Linked DNA regions of Diceros bicornis minor. The protein of the gene in region 1 purifies or fractionates together with the protein of each later gene. This does not show direct contact. Links are inferred from orthologs where the notes say so. Each region holds a gene or a part of one and is shown on either strand. Other genes may lie near its edges.

Region 1 (9,792 bases):
TAAAATCTCATTTGTTTTATGTATGAAAGTGGTATGCTTTTTAAGTGGTACATGATTGCTTAGAGTATACTTATATATATAAGCACATGTATATACTATATGTATACTGTAGTATACTTGTATATATATTGTATATAGTTACAGTTTTACTTGCCTATTGCCTATTTTCTGCATTTGTTGCTATTTCTCACTTCTCTTACCCAGTCCAATTTTGAGAAAAAATAATTCTTCCTCCACATAATTTCTCCTTTGAGGGATCCTGATTGTCAGAAGTACTGGTCCTAAATCTCGAGGCTGCAAAGATAAAGGTGTCAACTATGCTTCAACTCTCTCTGCCCACAACACTTCTGCTCCTATCTTTTCAGCTTTTCTTATCAAGACTTCAGAGACTCTGTTCTGGAGTTCTGCTAATAACCAAGAGAGGACAAAGTTATGACACAGCTGTTGTCAGTTTACCTCTGAACAAAGCCACATCCCTACATCGTCTGTTCCTCCCTGCCACACCCACAACTATCACAATAAAATATGAAAAGGAGGGAATCATGCAAATAATTATAGCAGCTGGCACTAAAATCACTGATTCACAATAGCCATAAATTTTGTTATAGTTCCTGTATCCTCCTATAGGTACATGAACATTTTAAGCTTCCTTGCTGGCTCAATTCTCTCTTGTGTTTTCCCTCTGACTAACGATTGTTCCAAAGATTTGGAGAAGTCTGTGGGCCAAGACAGATCAAAACCAACAGATCTAATTCATTCATTCATGCATACATTAATATTTATGGTTTTAAGTACCTGGGGATTCTGTGAGCAAAACAGATACGATCCCTGCTCTTATGCAGCATATAAAGTATACAACATACAATACCTGCCTCTTTACAAGCATACTAACTAGATGACAATTTATCATAATGTATATCATGAGCACTTGCTTTTTAAAAAATTCCTCTTATTAACTTCTCATTAGGCTAATACACGAAATAGCCATTTCTTCTAACTCCAACCAACCAAAAAACTTACATAACCACAGATTTTTCAACTGTTTTTGTACTTTCTGAGGAAAAGAAACATATGAGAGGAAAGCTAAAGGGGATTTATTTTGTAAATCTCCCCGGTCCTGTAACAGGGTCATTTTAGGCCTGGCCAAGTCTTCTACAACTATAATTCTACACACAAGATATATATATACACACATATATACACAAATATCTTGCATGTTGAATTACACATATATATACACATACACATATATTTTCAACCAACACTGTTTTCTAAGTAGAATGGAACCCATGAAGTGAGACCTTTGATTCTTCTAGAAACTTTGTTGGATTTTGACATAAAAAGGTGGGCCTGGAGTGAACTTTAAGCCCATAAGCAGGGAAAAGTTAAATGACTCTGCATAATAAAATAAAAAATATTTGAATTTTTGGAGGCAATCAGAAAGGAGAGAAAGAGGAGAGAGAGAAGGGCCAACCAGATTATATGAGCCTGAAGTTCCCCTGTAATGGTAGCCAAAATGCATTTTAAGAATAGAGATGCCTAATATTCAACATCAACACTCTCAGGACTGCAATCCCCAAATCTCATAAAGTTTACCACAACGCACAAAGGCTTTAGGTGAACTCTCTTTTTTCTTTTCCATTCCTTCCTCGCTCCTGTCGACACATCTATCCAACAACTTCATCACGGACATCTCAACTATCCAGTAGCACCTCACTGGTCTGCTCCAAATCTAATTACCTTCCTTTTCCCACTCCTTGTTTTTAACTGCCCTTCTCTTATCTCCCAACATTCCACTGCTCATTAATGTCATTATCACTAAAGGAACACCTAATATTTACTGAGCAGTTGTAACGCGCTAGGTCCTCTGCCAAGGGCATTACATGCGTAATTTCATTTGATCCTCAAACCCTACTAGACAGGTACTATGATCATTTCCTAAATGTGAGAAAACCAAAGCTCAGTCAGGATAGTAATTCTAAGAGTAAGTGATGGAATTCAATCCCTGACTCCACAGCCAGCTTAACCAGTACACTCCAATGCCTCAAGTCAAAAAACCTAGGAATCATCCCTAGGAATCATCATTAATCATATCTAGTCACTTACCTATTCCAACCAAATATACCTCCTAAATGCCACATCATCACCTACTTCCACTGCCTTCACAGACAACTAGCATCTACCAAGTCCTTACTATGTGTGAAGCACTATTCCAAATAATATACATGTTTTTCAAGCTTTATCCCCCAAACCCCATGAAATGAAGAACCTGAGGAAGAAAGAGGTTATATAATAAGTGATATAGCCAGATTCAAACCCTGAAAATGTGAATTGAGAAGCCTGAGCACTTAACCCCTATAGTATAAAAGCTCCTACTTTGTCCCCCTACCTCCCATCTGCACCCCCACCATCCTCCAGACCGCTGCAAATATCCTTCTGGAATGCAAATGTTATCACAACATTCTCCTGCTTAAAACTAGCGGCTCTGTATTACTAACTGGCTAAAGTCCGGTTTTCTTAATTTGGCATACAAAATCCTTTGTGTTTCTGTTTAAGTCAGTTCAATAAATATTTGAGTGCCTACTGTAAGCAAGGCAAAGTGCTAAGTGCTCTGAAATGAATACTACCCAGCCCTTGACTACCACTCCAACCCCATACATTGTGTCCTTCAGCCAGAGTAACTAGATGCAGATCTCGTAATGCAACACCCTACATATTAGTCTCTTTGTCTAGAATGTACCTGGAAAATCCCACACCAATTTGAAGAGTGAGTGCCTATGTGGGGCCTTCCCTAACAAACTCCAGGCAGAAATGCTCCAAGTTCCCACAGCACTTTGTTCAGATAACTTTCAGGTAGCTAGTAGTATGGCTCAGCTTCCCAATAAGACTATGAGCAACTTCAGGGCAAGAGCCGAGCCCTGCCGTCAAGGCCTGGCATGCAGTAGGCACTCTATCATTTGCTGAATGAAGAAATAATGAAAAATTTCTCACTTGAGAAAAGGAAAGGAACAAGATACAGAATTAGGAATGTTAACACACAAGTGGGCCAAATTAAAAGTAGTGTTATTCTACTTCGGTTCCGATTTGGCATACATTTTACCCCTATGGGAAAAATCACATGTGGGACTTGGACAAGCTAAAAAGGTAAAACTTTGTTCTTCATGGCTTAACAAAGTTTTGACAGGCCCCAAAAGGATACTAGATCAAAGTCCATTTTCCAAAGGAGTGTGGAGATCGGAATCAAATCCATCAAAGTAAATAAAATTGATCTGAGATCCAACTTCATCAGTGCTGCGTCACAGTACACACAAGAAAAAACTCAAAATCTGTCCCGGGACGAAGGCCAATTTACAATTAACTACTGCTGCTTCAAGAATGTGAAATTCTTTAAGTGAAGGCAGTTCCAATAAACCGAAGCTCACAACTGTTTCCTCCTCCTGCACTGCCACTGCTTTTCACTTAACTTCGTTTCTGGTTTCTGTGATTTAAAAAGAAACATCTATACAGTTAAGCCCGTGCATGAATGTACTGTAGCTCCTGGCAGATACGAACGTCTTGATTTGTAACCTTAAATGTAAACTGAAATATCAGAAGAAACACTACATATAAGTTAAAATTCCTTCGTTTAAAATATGGCATAAAGCTTTAAAAAGCGAGTGATGTATTTCCTGAGTGGTGCTTTGTGTGCAACTGCTTCAAAACCAAGATCCATATTTTGAAATTACCCCCATGAAGAGGTGAAATCGCTCTCCCACCCTCTTTGGCCTGAAGGGAAAGGTGAGAATTCCTAGGCAACAGGCTGGGACGGAGGGTACGATCTCTCCCCATTCCTTTCCAGGGGAACAAGATCTGACGGAAGGCAGCTAGTGTCTCTCATTCACCACAACATACACACAGGAAATAAAAAACTCTTCCCCACCTCTCCCCTTAAAAAAGCAAAGGACGCAAAGATCTGCAACACAGCGGCCGGAACCACCAAATGGTAACAGCCGGGGGCCGCCCACCTCTCCCCGGCGCCTGCCCGGCGGCGAGCACCGGGCGAGGGCAGCCCGTCCCTCCCTCCCTGGACAAGCGCAGCCGGCCCCACACCCGGGTCCGCGTTCCCCGCAGCCCGGCGCGCGAGGAGGAGAGCCGCGCACCGCGGCGGTGGCGCCGCTCGGGCCGCCTCCCCGGGCGCGGCGCTGCCCCACACCCCACCGACGCCCGCACCTGAGGCGGCTGCCCGGACCCGGCGGGAGGGCGCGGAGCGAGGCGGCCAGGCAAAGTTACTCACTGGGAAAGCGCGGCTGCCCGGGGCGCGCGCCGGCTCCCGGCGTCGCAGCACAGCCCAGCTCCGCTCGCCGCGGCCCGCTGAGGGAGTGCGGAGCTAGCCGGCCTCTGCTTCGCGGGGAATCGCCGCCACCGCCGCGGATTTCCTGGCAAGAAGCAAACTCGGGCCAAGACTTCGCTTCTCAACCGCCCCTGCTGCCTTCGCGGGGGCGAGCGCCGGGGCCCAGCCGCCCAACCCGACACGCACCTAGGCCAATCGGCGGCAGCACAGGGCGGGAGATGGGCGGGCCAGAGAGCGGCTTCGCCTATCCGAGGGTTCAGGGGGCGGGCCAGGACGGGCCGTCAGTCCCGGGTTAGAGTGAGCCTGCTCCGCCTCCCGCCGCCTGGCCTCCCCCCCCGCCTCGGGTGTTGCCGCCGCTCGCCTGATTCCCTTGCAGAACACACGCTCGAGAAGTCTCTGCGCTCCCCGCCGATCGCTGCGAAGAGAGCGGAACAGCTGGGGGAGGCAGGGAACATCTAGGGGAATGGGGGTGGGGGGGCGGGTAAGGAGAACAAGTGGCGGAGGAAAGCAGAAGTGTAGGTGTGTTTGACGAGAGGACAGCCGGGGTAGGGTGGTAGGGACAGGGGCTGACTGGGTGAGGGAGGCGAGGGGAGCTGGTGAGCGAGGAAGGGAGAGGGGTTATTAGCAAAGAACACCTGAGGGGACGGAGAGAGGAGCGGTACGAAGGAAGGAGGGCGGAGAGCGAGTCTGGGTGGTGAAAGGTTGCCGAGGCGGGGTCAGCGGCACCTGTGAACAAAGGTGAGCGAGAGGTTCCGCAGGTGAGGAGGATTAAGACGCCGAAAGGGTAAAGGGAAAAGGAAGTCCAAAGGGAAGGAGGACGTACTTCAGGAGTAGAAAAGATCCCAGGAGAGAAAGGATGGGGGCTTCCTTCCAAACTCTCACTCCTCCCCCAAAAGGTAAAGACAAACGCCTGTCTTTTGACCCACTTGAGCTGTGCAGCTAGCTGCAAGATCCCGTATGAGACAAATACCGGCTCAAACCATCCTATTCGGTTGTGAAATTCATCAAGGTGTACTGATCAACTATAGTTTAAGCCTGTCGTCCCATGAAAGCCTCCCCGAGGGTTGGGGTCCCGCCTGGGAGTAACACCATCCCCCACGGGTCTAACAGCAAGTCAGAAAGAGGCCCGAATCCGGCCCTAAAAAGGAAGGTGATTTGGGGGCCACAGGTAAGGCCCCGCCCCCTTCGCCATCACCTAGAGGAAGGTGCCGAGGGCTGAGTTCAGGCGCCCACAGGCCGGTCTCGGCATCGGAGTGGGGCGGGAGCCCGACCCCTCCTCTCTCCCCGCTAGCTCTGCCGGCGGACTTGCTCCGGGAGGGCCAGGTGAGCGGCTCCTGCCTCGCTCCCGCCCTCCTCGCGCCAGGGGCGGGGCATGTGGGCGGGGCCTCCGGTGGAGCCTCCACGCCCCGCCCAGTGGCTGGGCCTTGCCGCGCCGCTGCGGCTCCTCCCCGCTCCTTCCGTTTGCGGCTGCTTCCGTCGGTCGTTCCTTCCTTCCTGCTTCGCCCGCACGTTTCGTGACATGGGGCTGAGCCTCCGGTCCGCCAGCACCACCTGAGGGTCCCGGAAGCCGTCCCCGCCATGGAAGAGGACCAGGAGCTGGAGAGGTAACGGCCGAGGAGGAGGCGGGCGGGCGAGCGGGTGGGAGGAGAGGGCCGCGCCCTGCACCGGGAGCCGGTGGCCGAGGGGCCCGCGGCCGGCCGGGGCCTCAGCCTCCGCGGCGCTGCCTGGCAGCGAGGGCATGGCTGGGAGGGCAGTGGGGGAGAGAGAAGCGGGCGCCTGGGCAGGGAGAGGGTCCCCGACTGGGAGGAGAGGGGTGAAGACGTGGATGTGTTTGAATACAGACGCTCAGTACACTAGATACCAAGACAAGTTGTGAGATTAGAGTTTAAGTCCCCACTCTGCCCACCCCACCCCCCGTTAGAACAGTAAGAGTAAATAACGCTAACGTGTAAAATTACGCACCAGGCCACTGTTCCCCAAGTGATAGCATTGGTGTGCTCAGTCGGGTCGTATTCCCTGTAACTGCGGCCCAAGTGCCTCCTCTGTGCAGACTGCTAATGAAGCCACTGTGCGCTGAGATCTTTCTCCCTCCTGCTTGATTGACTCTTCTCCGACTTTCCCTTCTAGTTTCCTTACGTCCTGCAAATGGAAGCCGTAGTGGGCCTGCACGTTGATAATCTATAGTCTATTTTTATAATAATCTGTGTTTTTATACGCCTTTCAACTCCGTTTTCATCCTCTAGCAGGGCCCTCCCTATTCTAATCCTATCCCTTTCTTATGACTCTACCAAAAGAATATTTTAGCAAACATTTAAGTTTGTGTTTTAAGGAGACTCGCCTTGTGGCCATGTGGACGGTCAAATGGAGTAGGGAGAAACTGGAGGCAATAAATTAAATATTATTGATAGACTATGTGGAGGCAGCAAAATAAGGGGCTAATGCTAATAGTTCTATGTAATTGAAGTACATTAGAGTAATAATGTGTTGCAGTTGTGAAATAGTAAATGAAAAAAGCTAGTTAACAAAACCATATTCAGTATGATCTCATTTTTATAAAAAATATGTGTGTAGAAAAAGATCTGGATTGAAGACCTCAATGGCTGAAGGCGAGAGGAAGACAGCCCTGGAAATGGTCCAGGCAGCTGGAACAGATAGACACTGTGTGACATTTGTATTGCACGAGGAGGACCATACCCTAGGAAATTCTCTTCGTTACATGATCATGAAGAACCCGGAAGTGGAATTTTGTGGTTATACTACAACCCATCCTTCAGAGAGCAAAATTAATTTGCGCATTCAGACTCGAGGTACTCTTCCAGCTGTTGAGCCATTTCAGAGAGGCCTGAATGAGCTCATGAATGTCTGCCAGCATGTGCTTGACAAGTTTGAGGCCAGCATAAAGGAATATAAGGATCAAAAAGCAAGCAGAAATAAATCCACATTCTAGTCACTTATGCATGCTACAGGGAAGACTATCCTCTAGGATATTCTCTTCGTGATCTTGTAAAACCCACAAGTAGAAGTTTGTGGTTACATCATGATCTGTCCTTCTGAAAGGTGTGCTTCTAGGTATTGACCCATTGCCGCTGTTGGAATCCCTGCAAGAACCTTTGTATTGTTCTAATAAATTCCCTCTTTTATTTAAACTAATTTGAGTGGTTTCTGTTCCTTAGTCCTCAGGTTGACTGTTTTAGGGTTTTTTTTCTAGCTTACTTTCTCTTTTTTAATTGAGCCAACATTGAAAGTGAGGAAACTATGAGAAAATCAGAGGCCCAGGCAAGGACTTTGATCAAGGGGATTAAAAGGAATATGCATTCATGGCTATGATTGGGGGAGAGGGAGAGATGCAATAGAGCATGACCCCACATAGACTTGTTGGTTTAAAAAATAAAAGGAGGAAGGAAAGAAAGGTGGGAGGACTTAGCTTCTTGATAGATAGTTTTTAGTAAATTCATGGGAGAATTGCATCCTTTGCTATGATTGGTAGATTGGGCAAGGGTGGGGAATAATTTGAAAGAATTGTGAGAATTCTAGTTTCACATGAGAGTTTTTGGTGGTATCAGGCTCCATCTTTGTGATAGCATTTACAGGATAGATGCCAGTTTACTGCTTTAATTTCAGGACAGTAATAAAATATTTAATCAGAAATGACCTAAGTAGGTCAAGAGAGTTTAATTGTATTACAGAAGGAGAAAACTGGGAAGACCAGATAACGTTTTCAGTCCTTAGGTATCTAAGTATAGCCCAAGGTTACATTAAAAAAGGAGTATTTGAGAAACAGTAAGGACAGGGAGAAGGAAAATTCCATGTGGGGAAAATGATTTTTTTTTTTGGAAAACTTAAAATATTAGTGAATCACGTCTAAGAGCTGTCCTATTTACCTCTTCAGCGTTGTCTCTCATGCCTGTCCTACCCCAACTTGACTCTTAATTCACCCTAATATCTGTCAGCCTTTGAACCTGAGCACACCACCCCCCAGTGCTCTGTCCTTTGGAGCCTTTGTTTATTCCCTCTTCCTGGAACACTCTTCCTTCTGCCATACTCTGGTCTAGGTAAGAACTTACATGTCGGACTTCCTACCCTAGTTTGGGTATTTGTATGTGCTTTCATTATGCTCTGTGTTTCTTGGTTTTGGATTTACTATGCTATTGTTAGTGCTTATGTTGTGTACCCACTATACTAACTTGAGGCACAATGCTTGATAGGTAGTGGATGGTTAGTAAATATTAGATGAATCCATGTCAGTAGTTAAGGCATATAGCCTTTTATTCACTCAAATCAGACCTCTTCTACTAGCCTACCATAAAGCCCGCATTTCCTACACTCAGTCAACTCTTTAGATAAATGTATTTCTGTATTTATTGAGCATTTGGTGTATACCAGGCCCTGGAATAGACATGTTAGTAGATGAGACACAGCTCTTGTTCACATGGAGCATACATTATAATAAGAGTGAAATTTTTTTTTAAAGTTGTAATTCTGTGAAAAAACAAATACAGGGTCAAGATAGAAAACATGAAAGAGGAATCTGCTTTGGGTACGCAAGTTAGGGAAGGTCCTCCAGCGATTACAGGAAGAGAAGGAGTTAACTGTGCCAAAAGAAGAGAGAAAGATTCTGAGGGAATAGCATGTGCAAAGGTCCCGAAGCAGAAAACTGGTGGTTTGAGGAATTAAAGGAATTGAAAGAAAATTTGCATGTCTAGCGTGGTAAGTAAGGAGGACAAGGGCCTATCGTTTGGAGTTGTTGGAGAGGAGAGCTGGGGTGGTAAGTTAGAGTTTGGATTTTAAGTACAAAGGGAATGACATCTGAATACTTTGATTACCGTGTGGGGGAATAGGTTATAGAGAGGCCAGAGTAGAAGCAGAGAAACTGTAAGAGCTGAAGTGGCCTGGAAGGGCAGTAAGCTAGTGATAGAGAAAAGAAGGTGGATTTGAGATGTGTTTTAGAACCAAATTGGTACAGAATTGATAGATCTCAGGAATTGGATGTGGAAGGTGAAGAAACAGAAAAATGACTTGTACCTAGGTTTGGGGCCAAATTACTGAAATGGGAACCTTAAATGGGAAAATAGGTTGGGAGGTGGAGAAGGTGACTGGAATCAAAAGTTCCATTTTGAACGTGGTAGACAGTAGATAATATGAGTTGTAGGCCATGAAAGAGATTTAAGCTAGAGATAAACTTTGTGAGCTCTTGCCATACAGATGATGTAAATCCATAAAAACTGTGACAAACAAGTAGGCCCAAGACCAAGCCCTAGGCAAGCTCAGTATTTAAAGGTTGGGTTAAAAAGGAGCAACCAGTGAGGTGGGAAGAAAGTCTGTAGAAGTCAAGTTGTGGAAGCCAAGGCTTTCAAAGAGGGGAGAATGATGTTGAATGAGTCACATGAGAATGGAAAAATGTCACTTGGAGTTAAACAGGGAGGTCATGGGGCAGTGTGCAGAGTTAGTTTAGTGTCTAAGAA
Region 2 (10,222 bases), on another chromosome or scaffold:
CCGGAAGGACTGCTGACCTCCAATAGGTGCGGCAAAGCAGCAGCCCACTCCCACAGCACAGGCAGCGGCCAGCATCTCTGTTTTCCGGGATTCATTCTGACAGGAGTGGTGGAAAGAGGAGTCAGCATGGGCTCAGCAGCCCACCCCTCCCCTCTGCCGTCCCCCAGGGTCCCCCTTACCTCATAGATGCCCCCAAAGAGGGAGAGGAACTTGCTGAGCAGGGCGGCACACAAACTTGCAATATGCACAAAAGGGCCCTGTGGGGTGGGGGCAGGCGGTGAGTGGGGAAGGGTGCCTCCTGACCTTGGCCTGGCTTCTTCCTCCACTGGAAGGGACTCCTTCATTCCCCAACAGGCAGTTACCTCTTTGCCGAGGGGCATCCCACTTCCCAGGGCACAGGTCAGCCCGATGACCTTAGCTACAAAGGTCTTGAGAGTGAGGTATTCTTTCAGCACCACTCCCCGCAAGATGGTCTTCATCTCGGGGATGCCGGACCCTGGAGAGGGCACAGTCCCAGGAGAGTCATCCAATGTGCCTGTTTCAGGAGGTCCCACCTTTGCCCTCCCCTGCTCTCCTATTGTACCGACAGCCTGAGGAGCCAGGATCTGTGTGAAGCCGGCTGAGAAAGTGATGAGGACGATGGGGTAAGTGACCCAGGCCAGGTACTGGAGCAAGAGGTTGGTGTTCAAGCCCCGGGACATCCACTGCTGAGCTGTGGGGAGGAGACGTGCTGCTGGCCCCCGATGCGCACACCCAGTCCCCGCCTGGCCACTGGGACATACCAATATAACAAGCTGCCCCAGGGAATATCGCAGAGAGCCCGAGGACAAGGGGTAGGGAGGGGGCCCTGGAGGGCATTCACTGGGACAAAGATCACCATAGGTAACAGAGTCAGATGGAGAGCGGGGGCAAGAAGTTGTAGCCTAGGTGAGTGGCAGTGAGCATGACTGAAGATGGGGCAGTCAGGCCGGGGAAAGTGGTCAGTGGCCAAGTAGCCAAGAAACTTGGACAAGTGTGGCATGGAGGAAGCAGGTTGGCTCTTCCCAGCCCGCCCCCTGCCAGCCCTTGTCCTTACCCTGCAGACAGGCAGCGATGGCATAGTCCATGGCCCAGCTGACCAGCGCCATGAGGAGCCCCAGCAGGACCAGGAAGATCCAGTCTTCACCAACCCTGGACACTAGGAACTTATGGCAGTGTACAGAACAGACTGGAAGCAGGGAATGGAAGAAGGGGGAGGCTGGCACAAAAGTGCTTTTACCCTATCCCCCCTCCACCCCCCAAAGGGCAGCTCTAATGGCCTCTGTCCCCCTCAGCACGGTACAGCCAGGTCCCCCGCCCCAACCCAGATCTCACTGTGGCATCGGGTGCAGCGGCTCTGTCTGTATTCCAGGAGCTCCGGGGGAGTCCGAGGGGAAGGCGGACCCCTCCAGGGCTCCGGCCCTCCCAGGCGGATCCGAGCAGCTTCCTCTTTGGCAAAGGCCCCCAGCTCCTGAGTATAGCGGCCATACATCTGAGCAATAGGGAAGGTGGGGGTTAGCAGATGTGGGCTGAGTGGTAATGCAGGGAGGGCCCCTGGGGCCTCAACTCCCTTTCTCCCAGTCCCCACATTATATACCCCTCCTGAACCCACAGTTCCCACTTTGGCTTGGGGTGTGGGAACAATGCACATTGCAGACTGTGGGGGCTGTCCTGGCTGGAGTGATGGGGACAGCCAAGGTACAGGGACACAGCTCTGGGGGTGGCAGAATAATCAGTCCTCTTCTCATAGGCCTGGGGGGGAGCACTGAGGAGGAGTGGGAGGCAAGGCCCTAGAGGAGGAAAAGATGGAAAAACCTAAGGCAGTCTGAGAGTGGGAGGAGGGAAGGTCAGAGAAGAAGGGATGGTCAAGGGCGTATGGGTAACAATAAGGGCCTCATGGAGCTGGGGGCAGCTGAGTTGGGCCTAGGAGCAGGCGGGGCCCCAATCCTTATCACGTTCCTGCTGGGCCTCTGGCCTGTGACCGACTCAGCTGCACCCATCCCGCCCAACCTAATCCCCTTGTCCCCATTCTCCACCCCCACCCCCCACCAGCCTGCCAGCCCAGCTGGGAGTGGAAAGTCTCTCTGAGTAGGTGGAGAGAGCTCAGTGGCCTTGACCCCACTCTGGAGCTGCCCTGAGTCCAGTGGTGGGTTGGGGGACAGCAGAAGCTGATGGTTGGGCTGTGACTGTGGATGCTGGGGTGATGGGATTAGACCTGCCAAGCTGGGCGTGTGTTGGGGGGTGGGGAGGAGTAGATTCCGGCTGCCACCCGCAGAGCTTCGGGACACAAAGGGCTCCTGTTGGGGCTGGGGTTGTGGGGGGGGAGGGAAAGATAGAGACAGAGAGAGAGTGATAGAGAGCGAGGAAGGGAGGAAAGAGAACATAGGAGAAAGAGGGGGAAAGGAGAGGCCAAGGGAAGGGGCAGAGGAGAGAGAGAAGGAGAGGGGAAGAAGGGAGGAGGAAAAGAGGAGAGAGTAGAGTATAAAGAGGTAGACACACTGTAGGAGGTGGGAGGTGAGTGTGTGAGAGAAAGACAAAGGGATGGGAAGGAGCAGGGGGAGAGGCTGGAGCAGAGAGTGCCTAGGAGAGAGCTTGACCCTGAGAACTCAGTTCAGACATACAGACCAGGCGAAGGAGATGGAGATGTGGCTGCGCAACAGATGGATACCATTTCAGTGGCCAGGTGCCTGGCTTCCTTGACCAATGCCCCATTCTCAGCCTGGGCAGACTGACAGACACCTCCCACCCCTTGCGAACGCTTGCCCCTCTACCCTTGCTCCACCTCCACCTCTGCCACCTCTTCCTGTCATCCTGTTTCATCCAGTCACTCTCTGGTAACTGGGCACCTGCCAGCCTCAGTTAAAGCCCAGGCCCCATCCTCCTGGAGAGGTTTCCTCCCTGCCTTCTTCCTGGGCAAATTCCAACCCAAGCTGGTAAAAAAGAAGCCACAGGGCCCACTCCTTTCCCTAGAGATTGGGTCTCCCACCCCAGCGACATAGGAAGGTGCAAAAGTCTTCTCAAACACTAAGTTACAGCGATGGCCATGAGTCAGCTCAGAGCCCCAGGACCCCTGCTTCTAATAAGGTCAAGGGACACCCCTGGGATAGGTGGGGGCTGGATACCCAGTCAGCATGGACAAAGGTCCCAATTCCCACACCCATTCCTGCTTGACCCATCCTCCCTAAAGCTCTCTTCCTCCACGGGGCAAGCCACCTTTTTTCCAGAGAAAAAAGGGGTTCCTGTCAATGCTGGGTTGCCAGCCCCCAGGGGTAAGGGCTGGGGCCAGGTTAGGGTCTGATGATCTTTCTACACACTCATTTCTGTGTCTAGCACCGTGCCATGCACATAGTGGGGACAGAGGGAATGGAGAAAGGAGTGTAGAGAGAGAATGTTCAAGGGTGTGAGCGGCGCTGGGGAGGGGTACTGGGGTGCTGAGACTTGGGCCCAGGTAGTGAGGGGAAGGAGCAAAGAAAACGTGGGCGGGGGGTAAAGAGAAGGACACCTGGGACAAGCCCCTGATATCCTTGTCCCCTGCAGGCCCCCAGCCTCAGCCAGAAACCTGAATGCAGCTTTCCACTCCTTAGCCCTCCAGCCTCTCTGGCCCTCGAGCTTCAGTTTCTCCAGCTCAGAAGGCTGGGGTGAGGTTAGGGTAGGACCGCAGTCCTCGCGCTTCCAAGGGTAACCAGGAGCAGCGGTTCCGGAGCGCACTCCTCAGGGCTCGGCTCGGCTTCACTTACCAGGGTCTGCTGGTAGTGCAGCGCCCGCGGCTCCATCCCTTCCGCCGCCGCTGCCGCCGCCGGCGCCGCCATCTCCGCGCACAGCCCTCTGGCCTCCCGCGGCGGCTCGGGCTCCGGCCCGGACTCGGCTCCCGGCCCGCAGAGCCCGCGCCGGTACCCGTCCCGTCCCCGCAGCCCGGGAGGCCGAGCGCAGAGCGCCGCGGGCCCCAGGCGGGCGCTGCTGGCGCAGCCACCCGCTCGCGTCCCGTCCCAGGCGGGCGGGCCGAGGGCGGTGCCCTCCGTGCTGCTCCGCCCGCCGGCCCATTCACAGGGGCCGGCCCAGCCGGGCCGGGGTCTGCGATAGGGCCGCCTCCCAGGCACCGGAGAGGCGGCAGGGGGCGCTTGGAACGGGCGAGTCCTGGGGCCCTCTCCGCGGAGGCCGGGGGCTGAGAGGGGCGCCCGGGACCGGAGCGGGGGCGGGCCGGCTGGCACGTGGAGGGGCCGGGCGGGGTCTGCGGCTCCCGGCGCCCGGGCGGGAGGGGCTGGAGACGCCGGGGCTCAGGAGGGTCTGCGGCCAGGGTCTGCAGAGCCGTCTAAATCAGACTCTTCGGGCCCAATCTCTCTCTCAGGAGTGGCGCCCTCTCTAGCTTCTCTGGAGGGGCCAGCGGCTCAGAGGGGCCTGGCAAGACCCCTCTGCTCCCATGGGGGTGAGAAGCAAAGCTGGGGGTACTCGGAGGGGGACGCCAGGCCCAGAAAGGGGGGCGATGCTCAGAACTGAGACCCTCGGTCTCTCTCATCCGCTCCCTTCCTCCTTCCCTTCTTCTCTGTTCTTCCAGGGAGGTGCACCTGGAGCAATCTCGCCTGCCGGCTGTGCGGGGGTGGAGGTGGGGAGGGAACGCGAAGGGGTGAGGCCCGAGGGAAGGGAGGTCTAGGTGCGAGGAGGCCGCTCCTGGGAGGCGGGCGTGGGGGGACAGAGGTCGCTTTTCCCTGGCAGGGACCAAGGAGAAACCCGAGTAGCTGCTGACGTCTCGCCACCATGGGGGAAAGGCCTGCTGGGGCTCTGCGTTCTCTATCAGGGTCCGGAGAAGGACAGAGCAGAGAGCAGAGTGAGCACAGAGTGGGCAGTGCCCAGGAAGGGGGCAGTGTGAGAGGAGCCAGCACCCAAGGGGAAGGGGCAATGTAAGGGAAGAGCTGGTATCCGTGGGAGAGGACAGTGCCAGGATGAAAGGGCACGTAGGAGATCAGTGTCCACAGGGACAGTGCAGTGGTGGCGGAATGGGCAGCACCAAGATGAAGGGGCAGTGCTCAGGAGGAGGGCAGTGTGATGTGGCTAACGCCAGGCTAAAAGGGCGGCGTGGGGGAAGGAAGCAGTGGCGGGGAGTGTGCAGTACCAGGGGAGGGGACAGTGCAGGCTTTTCTCTTCGCCATAGTGACATCATGGCAAATTCCCAAACTGGGTGGACCTGGCTCGGGTGACATCCAGCAGAGCCGAGCTGGGCCGGGCCGGCCTGGCGGGGCCTCGGTGCCAGCTGGAGGAGCTGGGTACAGCCCCCTGCCGGGCCCGCGCTCTGGAGGCGTGGTTCTGCTCCGCCTGCCCTCGGCGCGGACTGTGCCCTCGGCAGGCGGGCGGACCGGCAGGGTAGGGCTAGGGCCAGGCTTCTCTGGGCCAAGGATCAAGGTCCCTGGCTGGGGTAGGCCCGCACGCATTCCAGTCTTCCGGGGCACTCCGAAGAGGGCGCAGTAGAGCCTCAGCAGCCAGCGAGAACCGGCGCCACCTCGGCGGAAGGTGGGACCCGTTGTGTCCCCGCCCTGGGGCGGAGTTATCTGGACCTGGGACCCGACCTCAACGCCGAAGCCTCTCGGAAGCAATCGTTCGGGGAGGACGTTAAGAAGCCCCGAGAGCAAGGCGGCGGAAGTGGCTTCATCCCCGTACGTCCGTGCGCATGCGTTATTCTTTTCCTTTGCCGCCGCTCTGTGGGCGCTACCTTTTCCGTCTCCGCTTGTATTCTCCACGCGAGGGGGTGTGTGTACACCTAGTCGTGGTCGCGCCCTCAGCCTCTCTCCTATTCTTGTGGCTCGCTCACCATGGCGGGCATCCTGTTTGAGGATATTTTTGATGTGAAAGATATTGACCCGGAGGGCAAGAAGTTTGACCGAGGTAAGCAAGGTTTGTAGGGGCAGTTTGGGGTAAGGGGCCAATCTCCTCCTCGGGGACACGCCCCTGGGCCCCTTGTCCACCCAGCTCACGTGGCCTGCTCCTACCGGCAGGTCCTGATGTAGGGACCTCCCTGAGGAAACATTTTATGGACGAGAAAACGGAGACTCCTAGCTCTCCCTGGCTTCACACACGCTGTGCCGGGTGCCTGGGGGGCCCTTTCTCACGGTGCTAGTAAACTCGGGGCATCTTTCTAATCACTCCCCACTCTGTACTAGGCGCTGTACTGTGCACCTTACACACTCTTTTGTCTTACTTATGCCTTTCAAGAGTCTCCATGAGGTAGACGGTGTCTTACCCATTTTGCTCAGAGAGGTTAAGTAACCCACCCAAGGCTGCACAGCGAGTAATGCGACTTCAGAGCCTGTATTCTTGTATTGCCCTTAGAATCTTTAGCTCTTTGTGAACTCCTCTGTGAGTTAGAGTTGACTGCTTGATATGCACCTCTTTATTCTGTCATTGATCAATAATTGTTTCTCCTTGGCGTCTCTTCCTTTGCCTGGAGACTGAGATGTTTTTCAAGAAAAACACTAGTTCTTACATGTGTCGATAATCCCCTCAGCACGGCGCCTGGCACAGAAAGATGAAACCTCTGGATGAATGAATAACTTGCCCTAAGTCAGGTTGTTTCTTAATCACTTAGGTAGGCCTAGAACCTGGATATTACTTGTTGCCAGAGGACCTTTGATTCTTTTCCAAGGATTCTGTCCACCTGCCATGGTTTTTCTCCCCTTTCCTTCTTGCATATCTGGTTCTGATTGAGCCTGCGCTCTTATGAGAGCAGACGAGAGGCCAGTGGATGCAGACTGGGTTCGACTGAGTGTTTTATTGCATACAGTCCCCCAAAGTGGGATCTGCAGGATCTGCCTCGGGCCAGGCAGTTACCTCTGTCACTCTTTCTCTACTTCCCTCCAGTGTCTCGACTGCATTGTGAGAGTGAATCTTTCAAGATGGACCTCATCTTAGATGTGAACATTCAGATTTACCCTGTAGACTTGGGTAAGTGTTGAACACAGACAGTAGCAGGAGGCTTTTTGCCATTTTGGCTGTTCTTCACCCTCAGATATTGCTGTTATTCTCAGGTGACAAGTTCCGGTTGGTCATAGCCAGTACCTTGTATGAAGATGGCACCCTGGATGATGGTGAATACAATCCCACCGATGACAGGCCTTCCAGGTGAGGGAGTGGAGAAAGGAGTACCTGAAATATGCCTGAGGACTGGGGCCGGCCCGGTGGCATAGCAGTTAAGTTCCCGTGCTCCGCTGCGGCGGCCCGGGGTTCGCAGGTTCGGATCCCAGGCGCGGACAGACGTACTGCTGTCAGGCTGTGCTGTGGCGGCGTCCCATATGAAGTAGAGGAAGATGGGCACGGATGTGAGCCCAGGGCCAGTCTTCCTCAGCAAAAAGAGGAGGATTAGCAACAGATGTTAGCTCAGAGTTAAACTTCCTCACAAAAAAAAAAAAGAAATATGCCTGAGAACTAAGTAGATAAGGCCTGTATAGAAAGACCCGTATTTAATTCATGGACTAAATGATTATCAGCAGAATCTGAGTAACCCTAAGGAAATTGGTGCACTGAAGAATTCAGACAACCAGGTGTTTATCCAGAGCAGTGATTACATGCTTGTGAGTTGTAGCTTTTTGGTGGCTGAGGAAATGACCACTGAGTGACCTGGGCTGTGTGGGCCTTGAATCTTGGGAGGGAATTTGGTGTGACGGAAAGGCTTTTGGAGCCCCACTGAGTTCAGATCTCAGCCCTACCACTTATTTACTGAATAACCTCCATGTCTTTCAGCCTCAGTTTCCTCATCAGTAAAATACAGATGGTCATACCTAGCTCACGGGGTTGCTGTGAGGACTAAATGAGCTCGTGTTTGGAAGGTGCCTGCTGTTACAATGCTGGCACTTAGTTCAGTTACCATTTTTAAAGGGCCTTTTATTATTAACTACTTTTTTTTTAGGTGAGGAAGATTGGCCCTTAGCTAACACCTGTGCCCATCCTCTATTTTGTGTGTGGGACACCGCCACAGCAGGGCTTGATGAGTGGTGTTGGTTTGAGCCAGGGATCTGAACCTGTGATCCCCTGGCCGCCAAAGCGGAGCGCGCCGAACTTAACCACTGCACCACTGGGCTGGCCCCCGTTGTTAACTACTTTTAAGAATAACTTTGCCACTGTTGTTCCGCAGGGCTGACCAATTTGAGTATGTAATGTATGGGAAAGTGTACAGAATTGAGGGAGATGAAACTTCTACTGAAGCGGCAACACGTCTGTAAGTTCCGTGGTCTCGTGAAAACCCTTCCCTCCGCCCTGTTCTGAGAATTTGGGCTATGCTCTGAAAATTCAGGCCATGCTCATGCTTCCTGTGTTGGGTCCCTCTCCCCAAGCACCTCAGACCTAGGCGAGACCCAGAAAGAAACTGTTCTGGGAGCAGTTTCCAGTCTGAAATGTAGGCTGCTCACTTAGCCCTTTGTTAGGACCCCAGGGCCCGGTGGTCCATATGGAAACTGGTCATCTGGCTGTGTGAAGTGCAAGGGAAGATTGCTTCCCCAGGAACAAAATGCAGCATTAAGTGATTAAACTGCCAGTCTTTTTTGTTTTTGTTTATTTGTGTGTGTTTTGCTACTCTGCAACCCGATCCCTCTTTCTTTGCTTTCCCTTCCCAGCTATTTTTTCTTTTCTTTAAAATCTTATTAAAACAATATGTGTACTTTGTAAGAAATCTGAAAAGCGGAGAAGTACTGTGAAGAAGGAAAAAAGGTCACCTATAATTCCATACCCAGAGGGAACCTTTTACGTAAACATTTTTGAATATTCTAGGTTTTTTTCCCTGTGTACTTTTTTCTTTGAGATCATATTGTTTATTACAGTGTTTTCTTCTGCTCTTTTTGCTTAAAGTTATGTAAAAATGTTTCCCCATGTCAGTTTAAGGCTTTCTCTAAACATTTTAATAGCTGCATAACATTCTAGTAAATGGATGTATCTTAATGGATTTGACCATTTCCCATATTCTGGGCATGTAGTATTTTCCACCTTTGCTAGTGTAGAGAACACTGCCTTGCACATACCTGTGCATTTATCTTTGTCTGAATTTTGGTTCCTAATGACAAAGGACTAGAAGGTGCCTCTTTTTCTTAGGCTGGGGTGGAGAGCTGCTGAGTAGCAGCTGCTCCAGAGCTCAGATTCATGGGATGGGTCTTCTGTTTCAGCTCTGCCTATGTGTCCTATGGGGGCCTGCTCATGAGGCTGCAGGGTGATGCCAACAACCTGCATGGATTTGAAGTGGATTCCAGAGTGTATCTGCTGATGAAAAAACTGGCCTTCTGAACCATCCCGGAAGCCAACCTTGCTGCTTAGTCTCTCAGGCCACAGACAGTCGTTCAAGCCTGAGTGGAGTTGCTGTTGTTCACCTGTTCGGGAGGTGCTGGCTTTCTGTCCACTGTGGCTGCATCTTTAGGTGGTCTGGACTCAATGGGAAACTGACTAACCTGTAAAAGACCCAGTGGGAGAGCTTAAAATGAATCAGAAGTTGTTTTGTGTATGTGATTTTTTTAAATTAAACTTTACTTTTTCAGACACCCTTGCCCTTTTTAAAAAAAATTTTTCCATTTACTTTAAAACCATTTTTCCTGTTCTCCTATGGTATATTATGTTTCTGGTCCACAGCCAGATGATGACATGTCAGTGTAGGATCTAGCCCAGCCTTTTGGTATTTGGGTTCAGGGTTATCTTAGTCTCCTGGCTGACTCTCCCCTACATTTACCTTCCAATGGGATTTTTCTGTCTGGGAGAGAGAGTGTTGTGTTTTTGGCTCCTGAGGGCACCCCAGGCCCGGAAGATACCACCCATTTGGCATAGAATTTTGAATTGGCAAGGAGCCCTGCTCGTGTCCTTCCAACACTTTCAGTCTCTTAGGAAGTCAGATCACATTGACTTGAATGAGTCACTTGCATAGCCTGGAAATGTTCATTTTTATGGAGGCATTGGGTGGAGGCTTTTAGACACAGGCATGGGACACAACTATGAAGAGAACAGGAAGAGTGGATTTGGTGTTTATGGAAGTAGGCAGAGGAGCTAGCTCTCTGCTCTACATTCTAATGGTGACCTGGAGAGGGGGTAAGCGGTGGTGGTTCTTACCAGTGACACTGAACAGGGAGCTGCTGTACAGACCAGTGAAGTGGACAGGGCAGCAATACCAATGAGGTTGGCAGTCCAGTGCCAGTGCCCAGGACAATACAGCAGCCTGACTGTGGTCACTAACTTAAAAATGAGGGAA
Region 3 (9,842 bases), on another chromosome or scaffold:
CGGTCTTCCTCAGCAAAAAGAGGAGGATTAGCCCAGCTGTTAGCTCAGGGCTGATCTTCCTCATAAAAAAAAAAAAAATTGGCAACAACCTAAATTTCCCTCAATAGGTGACTGGTTAAACACACTGTGATACATCCACACAATGGGATACTACTCAGCACAAAAAGGAAGGAACTAGTGATACCTGCAACAGTATGGAGGGCTTTCCAGGGCATTATCCTGAATGAAAAAAAGTGAATCGCAAAAGGACACACACCGTATAATTCCATTTATAAAACATTCTCAAAATGACAAAATTATAGAAGTGAAAAACAGATTCGTGGTTGCCAGGAGTTACAGATAATGGGGAGGGGGTGGGTGTGACTATAAAAGGGTAGCATGAGGCAGATCATTACAGTGAGAGAATATTTCTGTATCCTGATTGTGGTAGAGCTTACTGAATCTGCACATGATAAAAGAGCGTCAACTATATACACACATTGTACTGATGTCAGTTTCCTTTGTTTGATATAGTACTATAGTTACATAAGATTTAACCATCGCAGGAAACAAGGTGAAGGGTACACAGGACCTCTCTATGCTGTTTTTGCAAATTCTAGTGAATCTGTAATTACTTTAAATTTTTTTGTGTGTGTGAGGAAGATCAGCCCTGAGCTAACATCCATGCCAATCCTCTTTTTTTTGCTGAGGAAGACTGGCCCTGGGCTAACATCTGTGCCCATCTTCCTCCACTTTATATGGGACGCCACCACAGCATGGCCTGACAAGCGGGGTCTGAACCTGGGCCGCCAGCAGCGGAGCACATGCACTTAACTGCTACACCACAGGGCCGGCCCCTAAAAAATTTTTTTTTAATGAAGACAAAATACATTCCTACAGAAACAAAGACTGAGGAAATTCTTTGCTGGGTGACCTGGCTTACAAGAAATAGTAAAAGAAGTTTTAGAATTTTATTTTTGCAACTTTATTATTTTGAGGCCATGTTGTTGGGTCCATACAGGTCCTGGATTATAACTTTCTGGTGAATTGTTCATGTTCTGTTGTATAGATGTACCTTAATTAATTAGATTCATCCATTATTGACAGACATTTAGGTTGTTTCTAATATTTTGCTATTACATACAATGCTGCCATGCATTTTCGGGTAATACTTTGATACATAATGATGCTAATATACCTGTAGGATAAATTCCTAGAAGTGGAATTCCTGGGTCAAACAGTAGGTGTACTTTAAACTTGTAGAAGATATTCCAGATGAAAAAGTTCTGGAGACGGATGGTGGTGATGGTTGCACAACAATGTGAATGTACTTAACACCACTGAAGTACACTTAAAGATGGTTAAAATGATAAACTTTATGTATATTGTACCACGATAAATAAAATAAAAAATTAAAATAAAATAAGATATTCCTATGTGTACTCCCAAAACATGTAACAATATTGGCTTCCCTGTATACCTGTCAACTGTGGCCAATGTGGAGATGAGCCTCTCGGACTCCTCTTCAGGATAGGATTCATGGCCCAACTGCGAGAAGTGTGGTTACTTGAGAGTCTCAAGTTGTTGGCTCTGCAGGGGTTCACCTCAGCTCTAGCACCCAGGTCCCACTATTCTCTGTGTTGTCCCCAGCCAACAAATGAGCAATGCAGTGGTTCAAAGTGCCAGGTGGGACTCCCCTAACAGGCAATCTGCTCTGGAGCTCCCCACTGGGCTAGAGCTGCGACTTTGTCAGGCTGGCATTATGGTGTGAGTGCTCTCTCTGCTCAGAGCTTCTCCCCTTCTCCCCTTTTTCCTCTCACAGATGTCACTGCCCAATAAACCTTCTGCACTTCTAACTCCGAGTATCTGCTTCCTGAAGAACTTAAACTGCAAAACCAACAGTATATTACAAACCTTCCCAGTCTTTTCCAACCTGATAGATGAAAACAGCATTTCATATCTTTATTTTGCATTTCTCTATTATGATTGAGGATTAACACATTTTCATATATTTAAAAACGATTTGTATATCTATGAATTGTCTGTGTAGTTTCTTTTAAATTGTTGGTCTTTGTTTCCATTTCATAGTATTTTCTTTCTTTTTTTTAAATTTATTTCTTTCTTTTATTGCGGTAACATTGGTTTATAACATTGTATAAACTTCAGGTGTACCTCATTATACTTCTATTTCTGCATAGATTACATCATGTTCACCAGCCATACTAATTACAATCCATCACCACACACATATGCCTAATCATCCCTTTCACTTTTATATTGATTTGTAGGAGCTCTTTATATATTAAGTAAACTATTGATTGTATCCTGCAAATTTTTCTTTGCAATTTGGCTTTAACGTTTTTTAAGTTAATTATGTATGCATTAATTTTATGTACACAAATGTATCGATATATTCTCTCATGACTTCAGAATTTTATGTCATGATTAGAAAGGACTTCACTCTAAGAGAATAATAAAAAAAAATATTCTCCCATTTTTTTCTTCTAGCACACTGATGGTTTCATTTTTACATTTAAATCTTTAATCCACCTGGAATTTATTTTAGTGTAGGAAGTGAGGGAGAGTTCTAATTTTATTGTTTTCTAGTGAATGCCATAAAATATTTCCTTCTGCTGATAAACTGGCGTGCTTTTTCCTCATGGACAATCAAATCACATAATTGACCTAATTTTCCTCTTTGGTATGGCTGTAGGAAGATCAGAGACAAATTCACAGCTAAGCACAAAAGTGAATTTCATACCTACATCCCAATTTTCCCTGATGTTAATCTTCTAGTTGCTTTATATTTTCTGTGATCCTACATTTATTTTTCAATTTTATGGGGTATATTCTTATCAGGTTCCAAATATCCAGGGGAAAATAAAGTAGGCAGTGAATGAACAAATTAGCTATAACTCATCTGGGCCTCAGTCATGTCTTGCTCCTCTTGGGTAAAGGCAAGACAGAGATCGACAGAGATCTCTAAGCCAGAGCTGGGGGAGACCTGTGTGGAGGAGGTTGGATGGCAGAGAGAGAAAATACAAATGGAGATATGAAAGACACAGTTTGCCTCATATCTCCCAGAAGCATCAGTCTGAAAATGCCCACCCATAAGCCAGGTAAGAGGTCACCAATGGAAGCCAGGGAGGCCTATGTACTCATAGCCCCAACCTATGTATTGGCGACTGACATGGTTGTGTAGAGTTGACATGATTGGGGTTGCCAAACTTTTTCTGTAAAGGGCCAGATGGTAAATACTTTAGGATTTTCAGGCCATATGGTCTCTTTGGCAACTACTCAACTCTGCATTATAGCATGAAAGCAGCCACAGACAATAAGCAAACAAATAAGCGTTCCAATAAAACCCTTACTATTGGACACTGAAATTTGAATTTCATATAATTTTCACGTCACAAAATATTCTTCTTTTTACTTTTTTCAAGCATTTAAAAAAATGTAAATAGGGCCGGCCCCGTGGCTTAGTGGTTAAGTGCGTGCGCTCTGCTACTGGAGGCCCGGGTTCGGATCCCGGGCGTGCACCGACGCACCGCTTCTCCGGCCATGCCGAGGCCGTGTCCCACATACAGCAACTAGAAGGATGTGCAGCTATGACACACAACTATCTACTGGGGCTTTGGGGGAAAAAAATTAAAAAATAAAAAATAAAAAAAAATGTAATTAGTATTCTTAGATTGCTGGCGTAGAAAAACATCAAGGGCCAGCAAACTGGGGCCATAGATTGCTGACCCCCGATGTAGAGCTTCGATGAGGAAGTTTGTCATTGGGAGTATGTGTACAATTGTCACTTACTACTTGATTTACAACGCAGTGACCTCCCTTAGATCAATAAATTCTACTTCTAAAAATTTATCACAAGGAAATAATCATGGTTGCACTCAAAAATTTGAAAGCAAAGACTGCTATCCCATCCTGGATTATAATGATGAAAATAACTGGACACAACCAAACATCCAAACCAAACATCCAATAACAGAGGAGTGGCTCAAAAATTTGAGGCCATCTAAAAGACGGAATGCTATGCAGCCACGTCAACAGTTATTGTATGGTCCGGAAAGAGAGAAAGCAAATGCAGTCAAATACTAATATTTGGTGAATCTAAGTGAAGGCTATATGGGTGTTCACTGCCAGCTTTTCTGTAGGTTTGAAATGTAAAAATAAAGTTGGAAATGCTTTTAAAAAGTAAAAAATGTTTTTTGTGAAACTTAATAGGCTTTCACAGACCCATCTCCAGCTCCTCAGAAACTGTGTTCTCCGTGTTAAAGATAATAAATGTAACACCCGCTTTTCACAGGAAAATGGTATAGATTAACTCGGTAATATCTGTCTACCTACTTATTGTCTGTTTCAATCACACTAAACGTAATTTTAACTACATGAAACATGAGAAGATTTACAAAAAAAAAATTTGTTTTTAAGTCACGTTTCCTTTACAATCATCTTGCTCTAAAGGCAAAGAAAAGCTTGACTTGCTTAGGTTTTCAGCACTTGAAAAACAAAAACTTGCTTTTACACACATTTTGGGGGATCCAGCATCTGGGTTCTCCTTCAGGCTCAGACTTGGACTTGCTGGGTTAGATGCTATTATTTTAAAATCTAACATGGGAAATAAATTCATTCAATAACTTGAGATCATAAAAGTAAATTAATGAAAAGCTCACACATTTAAATAAAAACATAGGAACTATTTCTAACTACAACATAGCCAACCTGGGGCGATGGACTTCAGCGACCCTCCATTTGACGCCCCTTTTAAATGAGGTGATTAGACACAGTGTGTTATCAATCTCTGCTTGAACCCCAGTTATGGATTGTGGGCCACAGTGCTGGAGTCATCAAAGATGAATTTTAGAAATTCTGTCTCCGTTTAAAATTTTTTTAATGCTCACATTCATTCCCATTACCAGGAGTCAAACTCAAACCTCCCGTGTGAAAAACCAAAATCCAGGACGACAGATCCTAGGAATGTACTCCCCTTTTGACAGAGCAGAGCCATAATCAATTCTTGCCCCCCTGCTTCCGAAACTCTGACTTTTAAATACTACTAAACGCTTTACTCTCTCTCTCCACCTCCACCTGTGCGTCCCGCCTCCCGCAGATCCGCCAAATCCCATTAAACCCCAGCCCCACCAGCCACGCACGATCCCCATAGGCTCGGCGCGCAGTCCCTGTTCCCACGCTCGGCAGCCTTCCGTAACCTCATGGGATTCCGTAGAGCCCCGCCCTTCTCTTCTCCGCCGGCCCTGCTGGTCGCTTCCGTTCAGGACCGCCCCTCCACACCTGGCTATTTGGTTGGCCAGCGCCCTCGTCGTACGTCATTCATCCGCGCCACCCGGAAGCCGCGGTTCATACCAATCGTTCTTATTGCCGGCGGCTCTAAGGTAACGGCTGTGTTTGGGTGGCCCTGGGTGGCGGGAGCCCAGAGTTGGGAGGGGCAGAAGGCGGAACCCCCGGCATGAGCCGGACGAGCCCACTCCCAACACTGAGAGGGTGCAGATGTAATGCACTTGAGGCCAAACTGAGTGGTCAACGTGGTCTTCCCTCTCCTTATTCCTCAGGAGCCCATCATGGCGACGCCCCCTAAACGGCGGGCTGTGGAGGCCACGGGGGAGAAAGTGCTCCGCTATGAGGCCTTTATCTCTGACGTGCTGCAGCGGGACCTCCGGTGAGTGACAGCGTGGGGGGCGGGGCGTTTGGAACGTTGCACGTGGTGGGCGGGGCGTTTGGACTCAGGGCGTAGCCTTCTGATTGGTGGGCGAGGCGTTCGGAGCCCGGCCCCGCGCGCCTTCCGAGCGGGAAGGAGGGGCGACATCCAGGCTGGGACGTGGCGGGCTTAGTGGAAGGTATTTCTGCGCAGGCGCGGCCTCTGATGGCACTAAATGGTTGAGAGCTAGTTTTCCGAAGCCAGAGTTCTCAGGTTTGAATCCTGGTTTGGCCACTTCGCCATCCGTGTGAACACGTTGTACCTCGCCTCACCTTTCTGAGCCTCAATTTTCCTCATCTGTGAAGTGGGGCAGTTGATGGAACCTTCCTCATGTGGTAGTTTTGAGTTTTCAATGTGTTGAGTCCTTGTAAAGAGTTTAATGTAGATACTAGAGGCTCAATGAGTATGAAAAATTGTTATTACGATCATTATTAATCTGAGCGGGAAGTAGAGTATTCAGAACTAGGATTATGAGCATCCTAAAAGAGATGGAGGGTTTTTCTAGGGTGAGAATGAGACTTTCTAATTGGAGAGAGGCATTGGGAGTAGAGTATAATAATAATACAAATAAATAATAGTTACATATATAGAGCTTACTATTTGGCAGGCACTATTCTAAGTGCTTTATAGTAAATACTCATTTAATCCTCCTAATGACTGTATGAGGTAATACTTGTCATCCCCATTTTACAGATGGGGAAATTGAGTCCCGAAGAGGTTACTTACTTGCCAAAGTCACACAGCTAGTAAAAAGGAGAGCCTGGATTCAAACCCCAGCAGGCTGACCCAGAGTCCGAATCTTAACTTCTGCACTAAAATGCCTCTTTTAGGGCATGGTGACATGAGGGTCTCAGAGGGTCATGATATGAGGTATTCCAAGAGGGACAGGGCTTCCTGTTGGTCACCATTTACTCTTGTCCCATCATGTCCCAACAGAAAAGTGCTGGACCATCGTGACAAGGTATATGAGCAGCTGGCCAAATACCTTCAACTGAGAAATGTCATTGAGCGACTCCAGGTGAAGACACCAGGGTTAGATACCATTGTGTGGGAGGTGGGAGGGCAGGGGAGGGAGACAGGCAGGAGGAGATACCCCAGACCAAAACCTGCACCTGACCTACAAATTGACCATTGACCCCTACCTCTTTTTCCCTGGCGCTACAGGAAGCGAAGCACTCGGAGTTATATATGCAGGTGGATTTGGGCTGTAACTTCTTTGTTGACACAGTGGTGTGAGTGTCTACCCGTCCCTCTGAGCCCACAGAGTTCAGCTCCCCCCCCTTCCTTCAGTCAACAAATGTTTTTCTGAGTATTTGCCCTGTACCAGACACCGTGCTAGGTGCTGGAGAAGTGACAGTGAATAAAATAGGACAAAATCCCTCCCTCCTTGAGCTGCAATTTGGGGAAGGTGGGGGGAGGGGAGTAAAAAAAAAATCTTAAATAAACTGTATGGTTTGCTAAACAGTGGTAAGGACTTCCCCCACTTCCTCTAACCACTGTTTCCTCAGCCCAGACACTTCCCGGATCTATGTGGCCCTTGGCTATGGTTTTTTCCTGGAGTTGACACTGGCAGAAGCTCTCAAGTTCATTGATCGTAAGAGCAATCTTCTCACAGAGTAAGTCCATTCCATGAGGATAGTGTCTACAAACACCACCATTCGCAACACCCTTCCCCCCTGCTCCATGGCTGCCTGGGATGATACTTAGGGATCCATCTCCCCTCCTCCTCAGGCCTAGGGCTGAGGAAAGTGGGGATGCAAGGCTCAGCCCCAGGTATAGCACATAATAAGCACTCAGTAAATGTTCATTCACACAAACATTTATTGGGCATCTGCTGTATGCCAGGCTCTGTGCTTGGCAGTGGGGAGGCAGCAGTGAACAAGACAGAAGGTTCCTTGAAGGCTTAAGTTATAGAAGGACTGTACTGTTATACACAAGCACAGTTTTGACCAGATCCGGGAGGTCTCACCCTTTAAATCAGTAACGATAAAACGAGTTACCTCTGACTTCGCCTCCTGCTAATTCTCCCACTCGTTCGCTCTGCTCTCACTACATTGACCTTCATGGGCATCTTTAAACACTCCCAGGATGATCCCACCTCAGGGCCACCCCACTGGCTGTTCTGCCTGCAGCACTCTCCCCAGATGCCTGCATGGCTTCCTTTCTCCTCACTCAATTGAAGTCTTGCTTAAATGTCACTTCCTCAGCGAGGCCTTCTGTAACCTAACTTTAAAATTGCAACCCCCGGTACTCCTGATTCCCCTTCCTTGTTCTACTTTTTCTTTTTTCCATAGCACTTGTGTCCTCCTCATGTTTACTGTGTAATTTACTTCTTTCTAATGTGCATTGCTTTCTTCCATTAGGCTATAAGCTTTATAGAGGGAGATATGTTGTCTATACCCCAAGTGACTAGAATAGTGCAGAGCATATAGTAGGCACTCCGTGTTTGTTGAATGAATTTAAAAAGGTATGCTGGAAACAGATTGAAGCAGATCTCTGTTGGTGGTGATGGGGAGGTAATGTGGAGGGAAAATGTGGGCTCTGGTTGAGTTTAAGGTTTTGTTAAGGGAAGGGGAATTGGGAGTGTAGATGCAAGGTTTGAAATGTAGCTCAGGAAGGCCTCCTAGAGGAAGTGACATTTGAGTCACTTGGTTGAGTGAACAAGCCATGGGGCTATCTGGGGAAGAGGATTCCTGGCAAGAGGACCAGTGTGCCTGTTGTGTTAGAGGAACTGGCAGGAGAGGCGAGCGTGGCTCGGCTGGAGTGCGGGAGGGAACGCTGAGCATTACACTTCAATTAACATCTCACAAGTGAATACCACAGATAGAAAATTCCTTCTGGGTTATATTTATCTTTATCCCTACGAATAAAGATTTCAGAGTTGTTTCTTCCAGAGTTGCCTCCCTTAGGGTTTCAGTAATTCTTTTCTTTTCTAACCTTTCCAGAGTTTCAGTGTTAGTAGACCCAAAAGAGCCTCAGACCTGCTGAGATTTCTAAATCTTAGATTTCTCAATTCTTAAGTTGTCAGTGCCTGTCTCCTTGTCTGGTCTTTTTAATATATTGACCTGGTCTATTAGTGTGATGAGAAATGTGATTGAATCTCTTATTACTTTATTATAATTAATAGGACTCCCTAGAAGTTTAATCTTTCTAGGAAATGAGGATTCGAGTCTGTGTAGCTCACTCTCCTCTTTAAAATACTTGGTGACTTGGGATACACTTTGAACTAACTTTCTTTCAGATTATTTTATGTAACCAAACAATCTGTCAGTCCTTCCTGTTCTTAGTATATTTCTTTGTTTGGGGAATGGGAGGATCAGGTCTCTGTGTATATTCTTTCCTGATTACACAGAAAGGAGTACATATCCACACTGCCTTACGTATTAAATCAGTAGCAATAAATTAAACGTATCCCTTTTGTGTTACAACTAGCATTTGGTGAACTTTCTATTTTTCTCCTTTTTTTTAAGTGTTGAACTCATAGCCTTTCATAGACTAAGCTTGTACCATTAACTAATTTTGTTCTCTTCTTTGATTTCAAATTGTCCCTTAGAAGCTGATCAAGATCATTCATCTGTTCTCTGAGGGGTACCCCTGATATTCTTGCAAGCATTCTTGCTCTCTAGCAACAACACCATGCTCCATTTGTTTCCTGTCCTTAAACGTAGACTCAACCACCTTTTGAGGACTTCAGGTTCCTTTGAGTGGAGTAGTCATTCACTTATTCATTCAGCATACATTGGGTGCCTACTATGTGCCACACACTATTTTGATTCTCCAGCCACACTGGTCTCTTTGCTGTGCCTCAGATATGCCAGGTACACTCCCACCTCAGCGCCATTGCTGCTGCCCTGTGTCTGGCACACTCATCCTCCATATAGCCACATGATTTGCTTCTTCATCTTAAGTCTTTACTCAAATGCTTCTCAGTGAAGCCATCCCTAATCACTCTAATTAGAGTTGCAGCCCCCACTCCTGCACTCCTTATCCTCTCTTAGCATTTAATTTTTTCATTGTACTTAGAACCATCTGACATACTCTATATTTTGTTCCATCATTTGTCCCTCTTAACGAGAATTTGAGCTCCATGAGGCCACGATTTTTGTTTGCTGTGTTTGCTGCTCTCTCCTCAGTACCTAAA

What was found. Proteins that work in one complex are often made in the same cells at the same time.
Region 2: the proteins of protein POLR1D (region 1) and POLR2H purify together in Homo sapiens (affinity purification with mass spectrometry; 4 studies listed by BioGRID and IntAct, with this or other methods). This does not show direct contact. The link is inferred for Diceros bicornis minor from reciprocal best matches to the Homo sapiens genes POLR1D and POLR2H.
Region 3: the proteins of protein POLR1D (region 1) and UXT purify together in Homo sapiens (affinity purification with mass spectrometry; 3 studies listed by BioGRID and IntAct, with this or other methods). This does not show direct contact. The link is inferred for Diceros bicornis minor from reciprocal best matches to the Homo sapiens genes POLR1D and UXT.

What each region holds. Positions count from the first base shown.
Region 1 is NC_080748.1:10,913,660-10,923,451, forward strand, and holds the start of protein POLR1D, read left to right. Parts: upstream 1-5,850; 5' UTR 5,851-5,908; coding exon 5,909-5,934; intron 5,935-6,901; coding exon of another isoform or gene 6,902-7,277; exon of another isoform or gene 7,278-9,792. Other genes in the region: DNA-directed RNA polymerases I and III subunit RPAC2, read left to right, coding at 5,909-5,934, 6,902-7,277.
Region 2 is NC_080754.1:39,333,781-39,344,002, reverse strand, and holds POLR2H (DNA-directed RNA polymerases I, II, and III subunit RPABC3), read left to right. Parts: upstream 1-5,697; 5' UTR 5,698-5,819; coding exon 5,820-5,892; intron 5,893-6,864; coding exon 6,865-6,948; intron 6,949-7,031; coding exon 7,032-7,125; intron 7,126-8,134; coding exon 8,135-8,218; intron 8,219-9,155; coding exon 9,156-9,273; 3' UTR 9,274-9,524; downstream 9,525-10,222. UniProt on the Homo sapiens protein: DNA-dependent RNA polymerase catalyzes the transcription of DNA into RNA using the four ribonucleoside triphosphates as substrates.
Region 3 is NC_080781.1:41,409,224-41,419,065, reverse strand, and holds the start of UXT (protein UXT), read left to right. Parts: upstream 1-5,317; 5' UTR 5,318-5,378; intron 5,379-5,460; exon of another isoform or gene 5,461-5,555; 5' UTR 5,556-5,564; coding exon 5,565-5,662; intron 5,663-6,637; coding exon 6,638-6,719; intron 6,720-6,865; coding exon 6,866-6,933; intron 6,934-7,209; coding exon 7,210-7,317; intron 7,318-9,842. UniProt on the Homo sapiens protein: Involved in gene transcription regulation. Acts in concert with the corepressor URI1 to regulate androgen receptor AR-mediated transcription. Together with URI1, associates with chromatin to the NKX3-1 promoter region.